2 linked regions of the Caenorhabditis elegans genome follow. The protein of the gene in region 1 purifies or fractionates together with the protein of each later gene. This does not show direct contact. Each region holds a gene or a part of one and is shown in the gene's direction. Other genes may lie near its edges.

The links. The genes of interacting proteins can lie anywhere in the genome.
Region 2: the proteins of ddx-23 (region 1) and rbd-1 fractionate together in Caenorhabditis elegans (co-fractionation; one large-scale study listed by BioGRID). This does not show direct contact.

The regions. Positions count from the first base shown.
Region 1 is NC_003281.10:5,848,323-5,855,056, reverse strand, and holds ddx-23 (putative ATP-dependent RNA helicase DDX23), read left to right. Parts: upstream 1-1,787; 5' UTR 1,788-1,793; coding exon 1,794-1,865; intron 1,866-1,938; coding exon 1,939-3,516; intron 3,517-3,937; coding exon 3,938-4,193; intron 4,194-4,867; coding exon 4,868-4,954; intron 4,955-5,249; coding exon 5,250-5,326; intron 5,327-5,990; coding exon 5,991-6,113; 3' UTR 6,114-6,219; downstream 6,220-6,734. Other genes in the region: cct-6 (T-complex protein 1 subunit zeta), read left to right, coding at 1-30, 84-799, 846-1,240.
Region 2 is NC_003282.8:12,723,260-12,730,638, forward strand, and holds rbd-1 (RRM domain-containing protein), read left to right. Parts: upstream 1-1,726; 5' UTR 1,727-1,730; coding exon 1,731-1,952; intron 1,953-2,002; coding exon 2,003-2,288; intron 2,289-2,340; coding exon 2,341-3,153; intron 3,154-4,686; coding exon 4,687-5,350; intron 5,351-6,035; coding exon 6,036-6,231; intron 6,232-6,276; coding exon 6,277-6,714; 3' UTR 6,715-6,836; downstream 6,837-7,379. Other genes in the region: T23F6.3 (RING-type domain-containing protein), read right to left, coding at 1-67, 514-1,140, 1,258-1,331.

The DNA.
Region 1 (6,734 bases):
TCATCAGAAACTTGCTGATCACATCACCGAGTAAGAAACAAACAATTAAAAAGTAGTAAAAAACATTATCTTCTTAATTTCAGATGCGTTGTCGACGCCGTTTTGGCAATCCGTCGTGATGGAGAGGAACCAGATCTTCATATGGTTGAAAAGATGGAAATGCACCACGACAGTGATATGGATACCACACTTGTTCGTGGATTAGTTCTCGATCATGGAGCTCGTCACCCAGATATGCCAAGACACGTTAAAGACGCTTACATTCTCACTTGCAACGTTTCTTTGGAATACGAGAAGACTGAAGTCAACTCGGGACTTTTCTACAAGACCGCCAAGGAACGTGAGGCACTTCTCGCTGCCGAACGTGAATTCATTACTCGTCGTGTTCACAAGATTATTGAGTTGAAGAAGAAGGTTATTGATAATTCTCCAGATGGTAAGAATAAGGGATTCGTTGTTATCAACCAGAAAGGAATCGATCCTCCATCTCTTGACTTGCTTGCTTCCGAAGGAATTCTTGCTCTTCGTCGTGCCAAGAGACGTAACATGGAACGTCTTCAGCTGGCCGTCGGAGGAGAAGCCGTCAACTCAGTTGATGATTTGACTCCAGAGGATCTTGGATGGGCTGGACTCGTTTACGAGCATTCCCTTGGAGAAGAGAAATACACGTTTATCGAGGAATGCCGTGCTCCAAAATCTGTGACTCTTCTTATCAAGGGACCAAACAAGCATACCATCACTCAAATCAAGGATGCTATTCATGATGGACTTCGTGCTGTTTTCAACACCATCGTTGACAGTGAGTTTAAATTTTATTAACTTCTGTTCTAGTAACCTATTTTCAGAGGCTGTTCTCCCTGGAGCTGCTGCTTTCGAAATTGCTGCCTACGTGATGTTGAAAAAAGATGTTGAGAACCTGAAGGGACGTGCCAAGCTCGGAGCTGAAGCGTTTGCTCAAGCTCTTCTCGTTATTCCAAAGACACTGGCCGTAAATGGAGGATATGATGCTCAGGAAACACTTGTTAAGCTTATTGAGGAGAAAACCGCCGCTGGACCAGATATCGCCGTTGGACTCGATCTCGAAACCGGAGGAGCTGTCGAGCCACAAGGAATTTGGGACAATGTGACGGTGAAGAAGAACAGTATCTCGTCGGCGACAGTACTTGCATGCAATCTCTTGCTTGTTGATGAAGTGATGCGCGCTGGTATGACCAACTTGAAGCAGCCACAACCAGAATAAATATTAAAATTGTTTTTCTATTCCCCCCAGTGTGTCCGTTTCTATGATCTGTTGCCGTGTTTGATAATATTCCCCATCCCGTTCAACAAGCCCAACTTTACCGTTTGTTTTTATAGCTTTCTTCGAGCGATAATCAACAAAGATCGATCTGTTTTCTTTTTCTTTATTATCCCCCAATTTCTTAAATTTTCATCAAAATTTATTGCTTTTCATTTGAGAATTTGTTGATTTTTTCATGCACGTTCCTTTTTGATTTTGCGCAATAAAGGCTTCTTGCTTTTAATATTATTATGATTGGTTTCCGGTTGTGTATGTGCGCGAAGCTTTATTTCTATAGAAAATTAATATGATATTCGGAGAATTGACATTTTCGAATGTCCCGCTAAGAGAGCGCGGCCTAACAAATACCACCTCGGTCGCGTGTATTATATACGAAAAGGGTGAATGCATTTCTGTAGGTTTATGTTAAAAATTGGTTTTTTTACATTTTCCCATTGTAAAAGCATATTTTTAATTAGTTTTCCAAACATTTAAGTTCTTAAATTCCAGAGAAATGGCTGCTGAACCTCCATCACTTGAGGAACTTCTGGAAAAGAAGAAAAGAGAAGAAGATGAATTGGCAAAGGTATGTATTATTTTTTAATATCTCAAAAAACATCGCATATTTTTTAAAAACCAAACCATTTTCAAATTTTCAGCCAAAATTTCTGTCAAAAGCCGAGCGGGCCGCATTGGCTCTGAAACGAAGAGAAGAGGAGGTCGCAAAACTGCGTGAAACACAAAAACAAGCTGAAGAAGCTCGAAAAAATTGGGGACGCACCGAAAAAACATCAGACGATAGAAGAGATCGTGGACTTGACCGAGGCAATGATCGTGACAGAGACCGTGAACGGGAACGTGATCGTGATCGTCGACGGGATCGTCGGGAGAGAAGTGGTTCTCGAGATAGACGACGAAGGAGCAGGAGCCGTGATCGTGATGGTGGAAGGCGTCGAGATAGAAGTAGAAGTAGAGATAGAAGGGATCGAAATGATGATCGGAAAAGAGATAGAAACGAGGATAGTGATAATGAAGAAGATGTTAGTAAAATGGCAGATGCTGTTAAAGACAGATATCTTGGAAAACAGAAGGAAAAGAAGAAAAGAGGACGGAGACTTCATGAGAAAAAGTTTGTTTTTGATTGGGATGCTGGAGAGGATACATCACAGGATTATAACAAATTATATCAAAGTCGACATGAAATTCAGTTCTTTGGAAGAGGATCTGTTGCTGGAACGGATGTGAATGCTCAGAAAAAAGAGAAGAACTCGTTCTACCAGGAAATGATGGAAAATCGAAGAACTGTTGATGAGAAAGAGCAAGAGATGCATCGCCTTGAAAAAGAACTGAAAAAAGAAAAGAAAGTGGCTCATGATGATCGTCATTGGAGAATGAAAGAACTTTCTGAGATGTCTGACAGAGATTGGCGTATCTTCCGTGAAGATTTCAATATTTCTATTAAAGGAGGCAGAGTTCCACGACCTCTTCGTAATTGGGAAGAAGCTGGATTTCCAGATGAAGTCTACCAAGCTGTCAAAGAAATTGGTTATCTGGAACCTACACCTATTCAGAGACAAGCCATCCCAATTGGTCTTCAGAATCGTGACGTAATCGGTGTAGCTGAAACTGGATCAGGAAAAACTGCAGCTTTCCTTCTACCGCTGCTTGTATGGATCACAAGCCTTCCAAAAATGGAACGACAAGAACATCGGGACTTGGGTCCATATGCTATTATTATGGCTCCAACAAGAGAATTGGCTCAGCAGATTGAAGAGGAAACCAACAAGTTCGGAAAGCTTCTCGGTATCAAGACCGTTTCAGTAATCGGAGGAGCCAGCAGAGAAGATCAAGGAATGAAGCTTCGAATGGGTGTTGAAGTGGTCATTGCAACACCAGGTCGTCTTCTCGATGTTCTGGAAAATCGATATCTTCTCCTGAATCAGTGTACCTATGTGATCCTTGACGAAGCTGATCGAATGCTTGACATGGGATTTGAACCAGATGTTCAGAAGGTTCTGGAGTACATGCCAGATACAAATATGAAGAAAGATACGGATGAATTCGATAATGAAGAAGCTTTGATGAAGGGATTCTCAACAAGAGAGAAATATCGACAAACTGTCATGTTCACAGCTACAATGTCTTCAGCTATCGAAAGACTTGCCAGACAATATCTCAGAAGACCAGCAGTTGTACATATTGGATCTGCTGGAAAGCCTACAGAAAGAGTTGAACAGGTAATTTATTTTATTCTTGGTAGAAAAGAAAAATAATTATGAGAATCGTTTTTCATATTTCGACATTAAGCTGAACTAGAAAAATTACTAGAACTAAGGCAGCTTCCTAAAGTAGCTTCATAAAAGTTGTTAACTAAAATTTGCTAAAAACTAATTAAGAACACCCAAAAAATTGTTTTTTAACTGAAAAAAGTGAAAAATTGTTTGGTTTTTTGTTGGTTTTCTAAAAAATAAAATCAAAAAATTAATTTTTCGTCAAATTACCAAAAAATGCCAAAAAAAAGTCCCATCTCTGGATTGAAACCACGCAGAAAGGGGGAATTCTGTTTTCAGTGTCTTTTTTCAGAGGCTAGTATTTTTTAGTAAGAAATTTCAAAAAAATTTCAAGTTTTTTAAAAATTCCAAAATATTTCGTATTCAGGTAGTCTACATGGTTCCAGAGGATCGTAAACGTAAGAAGCTCGTCGAAGTGCTCGAATCACAATTCCAACCACCGATTATTATTTTTGTCAATCAGAAGAAAGGTGCTGATATGCTCTCAAAAGGTCTTACCAAACTTGGTTTCAAGCCAACAGTTCTTCACGGAGGAAAAGGTCAAGATCAAAGAGAATACGCTCTGCAGGCTCTTAAAGAAGGAACGAGTGATATTCTTGTGGCTACTGATGTTGCTGGAAGAGGTTCGTTTTTTTTTTTGGAAAAAAATTGTTGATTCAAATACTTTTTTCAAGTATATATATACCGTATATTCTCTATTAGAGCGGCGTATCTAATAGTACGGCGTATCTATTAGAGCGGCACCCTAACTGGCTCTTCGAAAATTAGAGCGGCAGTCTCTATTAGTGTGGCACCCCTTTTTTTGGGTGCGAGAGCCACCTCAATTATTCGATTTCTTCGAAGATATTTTTGTTCATTCTTGAATGAATTCATAAATTTTCATTTAAATATTGAATTTTAGTGTCTTTGTGAGGCAAAATTACACAATTTTCACGAATTTTTCCATAAAATATGAGGTTTTATAAGGAAATTTTGAGGTTACTACTCCCAACAGTAGTAACTTCAATATGAAAATTAGTTATCGAAAATTAGTGCGGCAGTATCCAGTAGAACGGCAGTCTCTAATAGAGCGCACGTCGCGAAGGGCCCGGAAATTAGTGCGGCATGCCGCTCTAATAGAGAATATACGGTATATAACGTTTCTTGAAAGTTTCAAACTCTTCTGAATGAAAACCCAAAAATTTGAGATTCCCCTATTTAAAAAAAAAACTAATTGAAGAGGTTTGATTCGAAATGTAACTAAAAAATTATAAATTCAAAGTTTTGAAAATCAAAATAATATCCACTTAATTTTCAGGTATCGACGTCAAAGATGTATCACTGGTACTCAACTACGATATGGCAAAATCAATTGAAGACTATACTCACAGAATTGGTAGAACTGGTATGTTTTTATTCACTTTTTCTGTGGAAATTTTTTGATGAAGTGTAATTTTCTGTTTTGGGAAAATATGAGATTCTTGAGGACATCATTTTTTTAAAATTTATCTCCACATAGTATGATTTATTACAACGGAAAAAAGATAAAGAACAGCGGAGCAGTAAGAAATTATTTAAAGAAAATTTTAAAAAATGAAAAAAAATGCGTAGAAGTTTTCATAAATTTTGAAGCTACTAGCATCTGAAAACTTCCACACTTTTCTTCTTGATCACATATAATAATTTCTTTTAAATTTCAGGTCGAGCTGGTAAACATGGAAAAGCAATCACATTCCTCACACCTGACGATACTGCCGTCTATTTCGACTTGAAGCAGGTAAAAATTGTGACGGAAACCGGACACCAAAAATGATATTGGACCTAAAAATCAAAAAATTTTTGTTTTGATTTTAGGTCGAAAAATAAAAATTGAAATTTGCGAAAAATTAAAGAAGAAACTAAACAAGAAAAACGAAAAATTGAGGACTTTAGTTTAATTTTTATTTTTAAAGAACAATGAAAAAATGAAAATTTTTTAAAGATAAAAAATCCAACAAAAAAAATTTAATTTTTTGTCCAAATATCAACAAAAAAGAAAAGATTTGCATTCGGTTTTCTGAAAGATAATCGATGAAATAAGTAGTTAAAAATGAAAACATCAGTTAATCGTTTCATAAAATATTTAAAAAAAATATTTTAAGCGTTCTTGAACAATTTAGAAAAAAAAAATCCACTTTTGGGTTACTGTAGTTACTGCAAGCGAATTAAAATTACAATGAAAAAAAGAAACAACTCCGAAAAAAATTTATTCGAATAAGGTTAATTCGATGAGATGCCCTTTAATTAAGTCGTTAATGAATGTTTTGAATTTAATTTTCAAAATTTCCGTCTAATTCCAAGATAATCGTTTTTGAAAGTTTTTTTTTTCAAAAGTTTCAAAAGAAAATGTATCACTCAATAAATACTTTTAATAAAAATATTTTAACTCGTATTTTTTCCAGGTTCTGGTCGAATCGCCAGTGTCATCATGCCCACCTGAACTTGCGAATCATCCGGATGCACAGAGTAAGCCTGGAGTGTTTACATCAAAGAAACGACAAGATGAAACATTGTTCTTGAAGTGATAATTCTCTTTTTTGTTTGGAAAATCTCAACATTTATATTTATTTATTCAATTTTTATATGATTGTTCTACCAGATCTGTTAAATAAATACTCCTGACCCCATCATTCCGTTCAAATTTCATTATTAATTCCAGAATAGGAAAATGATCATGAAAAGTTGCTCTCTGTCGGATTTCCAAGAGCACATTATTCGGAGAATGTGTGTTTTAAAGCTAGTCTCGTGGAAAAATTCAAATTAAATGAATTCTCATGTTAGGAAGCAAAATAATTAATTTTTCGATTTTAAGAAACGAAATTGAAAGTTTAAAAATCTGAAATATTTCACTCCACACTGATCATAATTTTTTTAAAATAAAATAAAATAGTATTTTGAAATACGTTTTACTAGTTATTGTGAAAAAAGGAAAACTGAAAATAAATAAATAAATCTTTAAAGGTTGGGTACATGTTAGATAATTATAAAAATAAGAAGTTCGTCGACGTGTTCGAATCGTTTTTCCAAAAAACCTTCGCCAAGGAATAAAACCTAACAAAATCATAATGTTGTCAAAAAAAATGGGCCGACATGCTCTCAAAAGGTCTCGTAAACCTGAAGATCAAATCCACGGTTTTTCACGGAGG
Region 2 (7,379 bases), on another chromosome or scaffold:
GATCCAGCGACGGCGACATAGTGGACACGAAGGCTGGGTAGAGGAACGGTGCCACCTTTGAACACATCTGGAAATAAACAGTGTTCAAAAATGCTCAGATTAAACCCAGCCGAGGCTTGAGACATGATTTTCAAACTCGCGCGCAATCGAGAAGTGCACGTGCTGTCATTGGCTAAAAATTCCCGCATTTTTTGTAGATCAAACCGCAATGGGACAGCCTGACACCACGTGGAAGTGTGCCGACCAATGAACGATACGCATAGGCTGATTGACCAGCGCAACATTATTTTGTGCGTTTATTTTCAAATGCTCAATTCTAGTCGAATTTTCACTCAAAATAATTCTAGCGCTCACATTACCAATTTTAGAGCCAAATCTTACAAGGCGTCAGAAATTCCCAGTACGGTTTGATCTACCCAAATCACTGCAATTTTCGAAGATCAAACGGCAGTGACTTCTCAAGAAAATACGACGGTGACCGAGTTTTATCTTTTCACGGCCACAAAAACCTACGTTTTGCATCCAATAACGTTCATGCATCGATTACAGCCTTGTGGGTCAACTGGAGTCTCAAAACAGACGGTACACTCTCCCCGTGCGCCGATCGGTGAGCCAACTCGAGCTGCATGATTTGAGGTGCCTTGTGATGTGCTTGGCTGATTCGATGGAGCAGCTTCAAAAGAGTCTGACAATTTGACTTCAGATTCGTCATCATCAAGGGTTATGGCATTTTCATTGATTCCTTGTGACGGCAAGTTTCTTGCAAGAACGGCCGGTAAAACGTCCACGTGGCCTCCATAACCTTCTCTTCCAGCTGCGGCTCTGATTGTTGGCTGATTTTGTGCATTCTGGGGAGTTGGTTGTCCTTGTGACCCAGTCGCTGCGCTGGTGGGATCCGGGGCCACAGCAGCCACCTGTACTCCAGTACCTTCTCTTCCAGCTGGAGCTATGGTTCCTGTCAGATTTTGTTGTTGAGCTTGAGGATTATCTCGATTCACTTGGATATGAACAGTTTCAGGTTGTGGAGGATTTTGAGGAGGCGCTGGGTTGGCTGGATTTGGCCCCCAGTTCAATTCATTCTCAAGGTTTCGAGCAAGTGCGAGATCCTTCAATTCCTGTTCGTAGCGGAGATACGCTTGCCTTAAAAACGAAATATTGATTTTTTTTGCACTGGACGGCTTTTGCTACATGGCCGAGTAAATAGAAAAATCGGCCACCAACTTTCTAATTAGCAGCCACTTCAAGTCTCTTTCTCACCTCTGTTCCTCAACATTTACATCGTCGAATGAAAAGTTCGCTGAACTGCGTCGTGAAGTACGTGTTGGAGCCATTTCGAGAATCGAGTAGAACAATTTTATAAAACTAGAGTAGGGAATGAATTTTGAAAAACTTCACATCCGTATTTCTGCGAAAATGGCGTGTATTTTCTTTTTTCGTTGCGTGAATAAACAATAATCAGAAATTTTAATATTTTAAAACGTGAATTTGTTTTCCTATCTCTTAGATTTTCATCTCTGCACTACATTAAATCTTTCTTCTTCGTGAGGTCTCCAATTTCAATTTCGCGCTATGACTACGACGCTCCGACATTCCACAGGCCGCTTTGTTTAACGTAAATCGACACGGATTTCTTCCCCCATTTTTATTTATTTTTTACCCATTTTCCTCGTTAAAAACCTGGTTTTGCCAGAAAATATTCATTTTTTCTTTGAGATTCCATTTCCAGACACATGACAACTCGATTAATTGTCAAAAACTTGCCTAGCACCTGCACGGAACAGCAACTACGGAAATTTTTCGAAAAATATGGTCAGATTTCCGATGCGTCGCTAAAGTACACAAAGGAAGGAAAATTCCGTGGATTTGCTTTTGTCGGATTTTTAGACGAAGGATCTGCGTCAAATGCGTTAGCCAAATCGAATCAAACATTTTTTAATTCGAAAAAGTTAACGGTGAGTCAGATAATTAACGTTTTTTGTTTAAAAAAAAAATGAATTTTCAGGTTGAAGAATGTCGTCCATTTGGTGATGCAAACAAGCCGAGAGCCTGGAGCAAGTATGCTAAAGATTCAAGTGCTTACAAGCGTACTCATGGAGAGAAAGAAGAAGCAAATCCGGGAAAATCAGACGAAACCGAAGAACCAGCTCCAAAAAAGCAGAAGGACGATGCGAAATTTGATCAATTTTTAGAAGCAAAAGGAGTTGTAGTTGAGAAAGAAGTGAAATTGAGTAAAGATAAATCTGCAGAAGCAAAGAAATTGATGGCAGAGCTCATGGACGGAATTGGAGGTAAAAAATACATTTTTGAATTTAATATATAAAATGGTTTTTAATATTTCAGGTGACACCTCACTTTCGCTAATTTTCTCCGGGCTTCCAAGTTCAGCAAAAGGCAAAAATATCAAAGAATGGCTCAATCCGATTCGTGTTAAAGCCATGAAAATCGCTAGAAATGAGGATGTTGCCGCCGCATTTGTAACGTTCAATAGACCACCAGATGTTAGAAGAGCACTTCAGAAAGATGGACAATTCTTGGGAGGATTTAAAATTGGAATTGAAAAGATTGAAACTCCAGAACCGGAGCATGAAGTTATAGAAGAGCATGGAGCATCGTTGGAAAGTCGAGATAAAGAGGAAGAAACTGTTCGTGAAAAGATTCTTGAAACTGGACGTCTTTTTCTTCGAAATCTACCATACGCCACTAAAGAAGACGATCTACAATTTTTATTCAAAAAGTACGGAGAAGTATCTGAAGTTCAAGTAGTTATTGATAAGAAGACAGGCGCGTGCAAAGGATTCGCAATTGTTGAATTTGTATTCCCAGAAGCTGCAGTTGCTGCATATTCGGCACTAGATGGATATGTATTCAAAGGACGTATGATGCATATTTTACCAGGAGATGAGAAGCGTACGAAAGAAGGAGAAGAAGAATCTGAAGTTGTTCCAGATGATCCAGATAATCCATTGAAGGCTGAAGCAAAGAAAGAAAAGAAAAAGAAGTCGTTTAAAGAGGAGAAAGATGAACAGAAAAAAGCTTCCGCCGGGAAAACTGCCCATTCGTGGAATGCTCTGTTCTTGGGAGCCAATGCGATTGCAGATACATTGGCTCAACGTTTAAATGTCAAGAAATCTGATTTATTGACTAGTGATCAAGGTAGATCTGGAATATATTTTGAAGTAACAACGACTACAATTCGAAACTTATGTGTTTTTTGAAAGAAAACCTTCTGAATAGGCGACCACAAAATATTTAGCCGCAGAACAGTACTCTGAACCAGTGCGGAAATTGGAAATTTCCGGCATTTTCGGCGATTGCCGGTTTTGGAAATTTCCGGCAATTTTCAAACCTAATAATATTTTGGAAATTGAAAAAATGTCACCACGTTTTTACAAGATTCGGGTAGCCATTTTCTCAGAAAAATACATAAAACATTCAATCCTTTAAGGATTACATAATTTTGACCTTGAAAATCGAAAATTGTTCATTGAAATGCATTTTTAGGCTCCTATCTACAAAAAGTTTCAAATTTATATTTCCGGCTATTTTGATTTCCGGCAATTTCGGCAATTCCGGCAATTGCCGGTTTTGTGAATTTCCGGCAATTCCGACAATTGCCGGTTTCGTGAAGTTTCGGCAATTTCGGCAATTGTCGGTTTCTGTGAATTTCCGGAAATTTCCGGCAACTTCGGCAATTCCGGCAATTCTGGCAATTACCGGTATTCAGAATTTCCGGCAATCAGCAATTCCGCCAATTGCCGGTTTTGTGAATTTTCGGCAATTGTCGGTTTTCAAAATTTCCGGCAATTCCGTCAATTGTCGATTTTGTGAATTTCTGGCAATCGGCAGTTCCGGCAATTGCCGGTATTCAAAAATTCTGGCAATTCCACCAATTGCCGGTTTTGTGAATTTCCGGCAATTCCGACAATTGCCGGTTTCGTGAAGTTTCGGCAATTTCGGCAATTGTCGGTTTCTGTGAATTTCCGGAAATTTCCGGCAACTTCGGCAATTCCGGCAATTCCGGCAATTACCGGTATTCAGAATTTCCGGCAATCAGCAATTCCGCCAATTGCCGGTTTTGTGAATTTTCGGCAATTGCCGGTATTCAAAAATTCTGGCAATTCCACCAATTGCCGGTTTTGTGAATTTTCGGCAATTGCCGGTATTCAAAAATTCTGGCAATTCCACCAATTGCCGGTTTTGTGAATTTCTGGCAATTCCGACAATTGACGGTTTCGTGAAGTTTCGGCAAATTTCGGCATTTGCTTGCCGAAAGTTCACAAAACCGGCAATAGTGGGAAACACTGTTTTTAACCTAAAAAGCCCAGAATTTGACGAAAAATAAGTTAAAATAGTTCAAAAAGTTACATTTTTTCCCTAAAATCTTAAATGAAAGCTCATTTTTCGGAAAAAAATTGTTGATTTTCTGTACATCAACGTTTTTTGGGGTAAAATAATAACTTTTTTCCTCTGAAAATCGATTTTTTTCAGTCAAAAGTAACAAAATTTCAGATATTTCTCTACATTAATTTTCTAAATACCACTCATTTTGATTTAAAAAATAGCACAAAAATTTTTTAGATTCAGTTTTTTTTGCGGGCACCTATTTGAAATGTTTTAATAACAAATGTTTCTTAATGAATTTTTGAAATTTTCTTTAATTTATGCTTATTTAACTTCTATTTTCAGGTGAATCAGCTGGAGTTCGTCTCGCTCTTGCTGAAACTCGTCTCGTCCGTGAAACTCGTGATTTCTTCCTCGAAAACGGTGTGAAACTCGACGCATTCTCGAAACCAGCCGAAAAACGTAGTGATACTGTAATGCTTGCAAAGAATTTGCCTGCTGGCGTCGAATCTGAAGAACTTCAACGAATGTTCGAGAAATTTGGCGATTGTACGAAGGTTCTGATGCCAACGGAAGGAGGTGTCAGTGCACTTGTCATTATGGGAAATCCAGTTGACGCGAAGAAAGCATTCAGAGCTTTAGCTTATTCAAGATTTAGAAGTCAACCCTTGTACTTGGAATGGGCTCCATATGACGTCATGGGAGCAACTGCACCACCTGCAGAAGATAAGACTGCAGAAGTAGCTGATAAACCGAAATTATCGAAGAGAGAAATGACTTATGAAGAGAAAAGAAAAGAAAGAAAGAATCGGCAGCAAGGTATTACTGAAGAAGAGAAGGATGACGGAGAGGTGATAGAAGAGGAAGAAAAACCGAAAGAAGTTGAAGCTGAAGATAAGAAAAAGTCTTCCAAGAAGCAGTCGGAAAAGGAAATTGAGTCTGGAAGTACGCTTTTCGTCAAAAATCTCGCTTTCGACACTACCGATGGAAGCTTGGAATTCTTGTTCAGGTATGGAATTAAATCTATATTATCCACATGCGAAATCCTGCGATTATTATGCCACCTGGTCTCGACACGACAATTTTTTGATAAATTGAAAAAAAAGGTGTGCGCCTTTAATGGTGGAGTAGGACCGTAATGACCAAATATTATTGTAAAAAATCTAAAAAATTAATATAAAAATGTTAATTTTTTCAATTTTGCAAAAGATTTGAAATTTTTTGTTTTTTCTTTAATAATTAATTTAAAACACTGTTTGCCAAATTTTCAGACAGTTTTTCGCTAAATAATTATAATTTGAGTTTTATGCCAATTTTGGAGTTTTAGCGAATTTTTACAAATTATAACGAAAATTAAATAAATATAGCCGGGAAACGAGAAAATATCAAAACTAAGTGATTAAATTGTGCGGGAATTAAAAAATAATAAGCTAATTTTTTTTAAATTTCTGCCGAAAAAAAATTATTTTTTTAATTTAAAAATTAATTTTTGGTATTACGGTCAATTTTCTATCATCATCCAAATAGTGATGTAATTAAAAAAAAAAGGTTTTCGATAAAATGTTTTATTTATTAAAAAAACTCAAATTAAAAAAACACTTAAATTTAAACAAATCATGAGAAAAAAAAATCGTTGAAAATTCCGCAGCTATCAAGTGTAATAGAATCTTTTCATAAATGGTTTTTGTTTTCAGAAAACGATATGGAGACCTCGTTAAATCTGCGCAAATCTCCAAGAAGCTCAATCCAGCGGAGCCAACGAAGCCACTTTCCATGGGATTCGGATTCGTTCAGTTCTACACTGCATTCGACGCGAAAACTGCACTGAAAGATATGCAAGGAGAGCTTCTTGATGGTCATTCTCTAGAATTGAAGATTTCGCATAGAGAGGTATAGAGGTTATAATGGAAATATTTAAATTTATTTTTTATTCAGAACGCCGACAAGGGAGCTCTAAAACGAAAGGAAGTGAAGCAAAAAGAGCAGGGAGAATGTACGAAGCTTTTGGTCAGAAATCTACCATTTGAAGCATCAGTTAAAGAAGTTGAAACTCTTTTTGAAACTTTTGGAGCTGTAAAAACCATTCGTATTCCTAAAAAGCCAGGACAAAAGCAACAACATCGTGGATTCGGATTCGTCGATTTTATTTCGGCAGATGAGGCTCATCGAGCATTTGATTCTCTTGTTCACTCTACTCATCTGTACGGAAGACGTTTAGTTTTGGAATGGGCTAAAGACGATGAAACTGTGGAAGAACTTCGTGAAAAGACGGCCGAGAAGTTTGCTGGAAATAAGAAAGGAGTCAAAAAATCGAAAGCACAAACTGAAGAATTCCAGCAACAGTTGCAAATTGCCGATGATGAAAAGGATTAATTGTTATTTTTGCCTGTTTCTGTTACTTTTTATTGTTATATTGTTATCTTTTTCACCGATTTTTGTTGTGTTTTTGAAAGTTTTTAAGTTTAAAAATACATAAATGAAAAAAACAATTTTTTAAATCAGATTTTTAAATTTTTCGGAACGAAAGATGGAATTAGAAACAAGCATGCTTTAAATAAAAACACTGACACACAAAATATTTTGGACCAAAAAACCAAACTTTCGAATTATGAAACAGGGGTGGGCGGCAAACGATTTTTCCGGCAAATCGGATAAATTCCGGCAAATCGGAATTGAAAATTTGCCGAAAATTTTCGGCAAATTGTGGTTTTGCACTTATTTTTTTGGAAATTTCAAAATTTCAATTTCAAATGGCAAAATTAAACGCATCCTACGAATGTTCTTACATGTATTTTGAAAAGTAAGCAAATTATATGAAAATATGGAGAAAAAAAGGAAAAAATTCAAAAAGACACAGTTTTGAGTGTTTCCGTCTTATAAAAAATCCCTCTAACAGAAAAATGACATTGCGGCGGATTTCAGAAAAATGGCATTGCGGCGGATTTTCGAAAAATGACATTGCGGCGGATTTCAGAAAAATGACATTGCGGCGGATTTTTGAAAAATGGCATTGCGGCGGATTTTTGAAAAATGACATT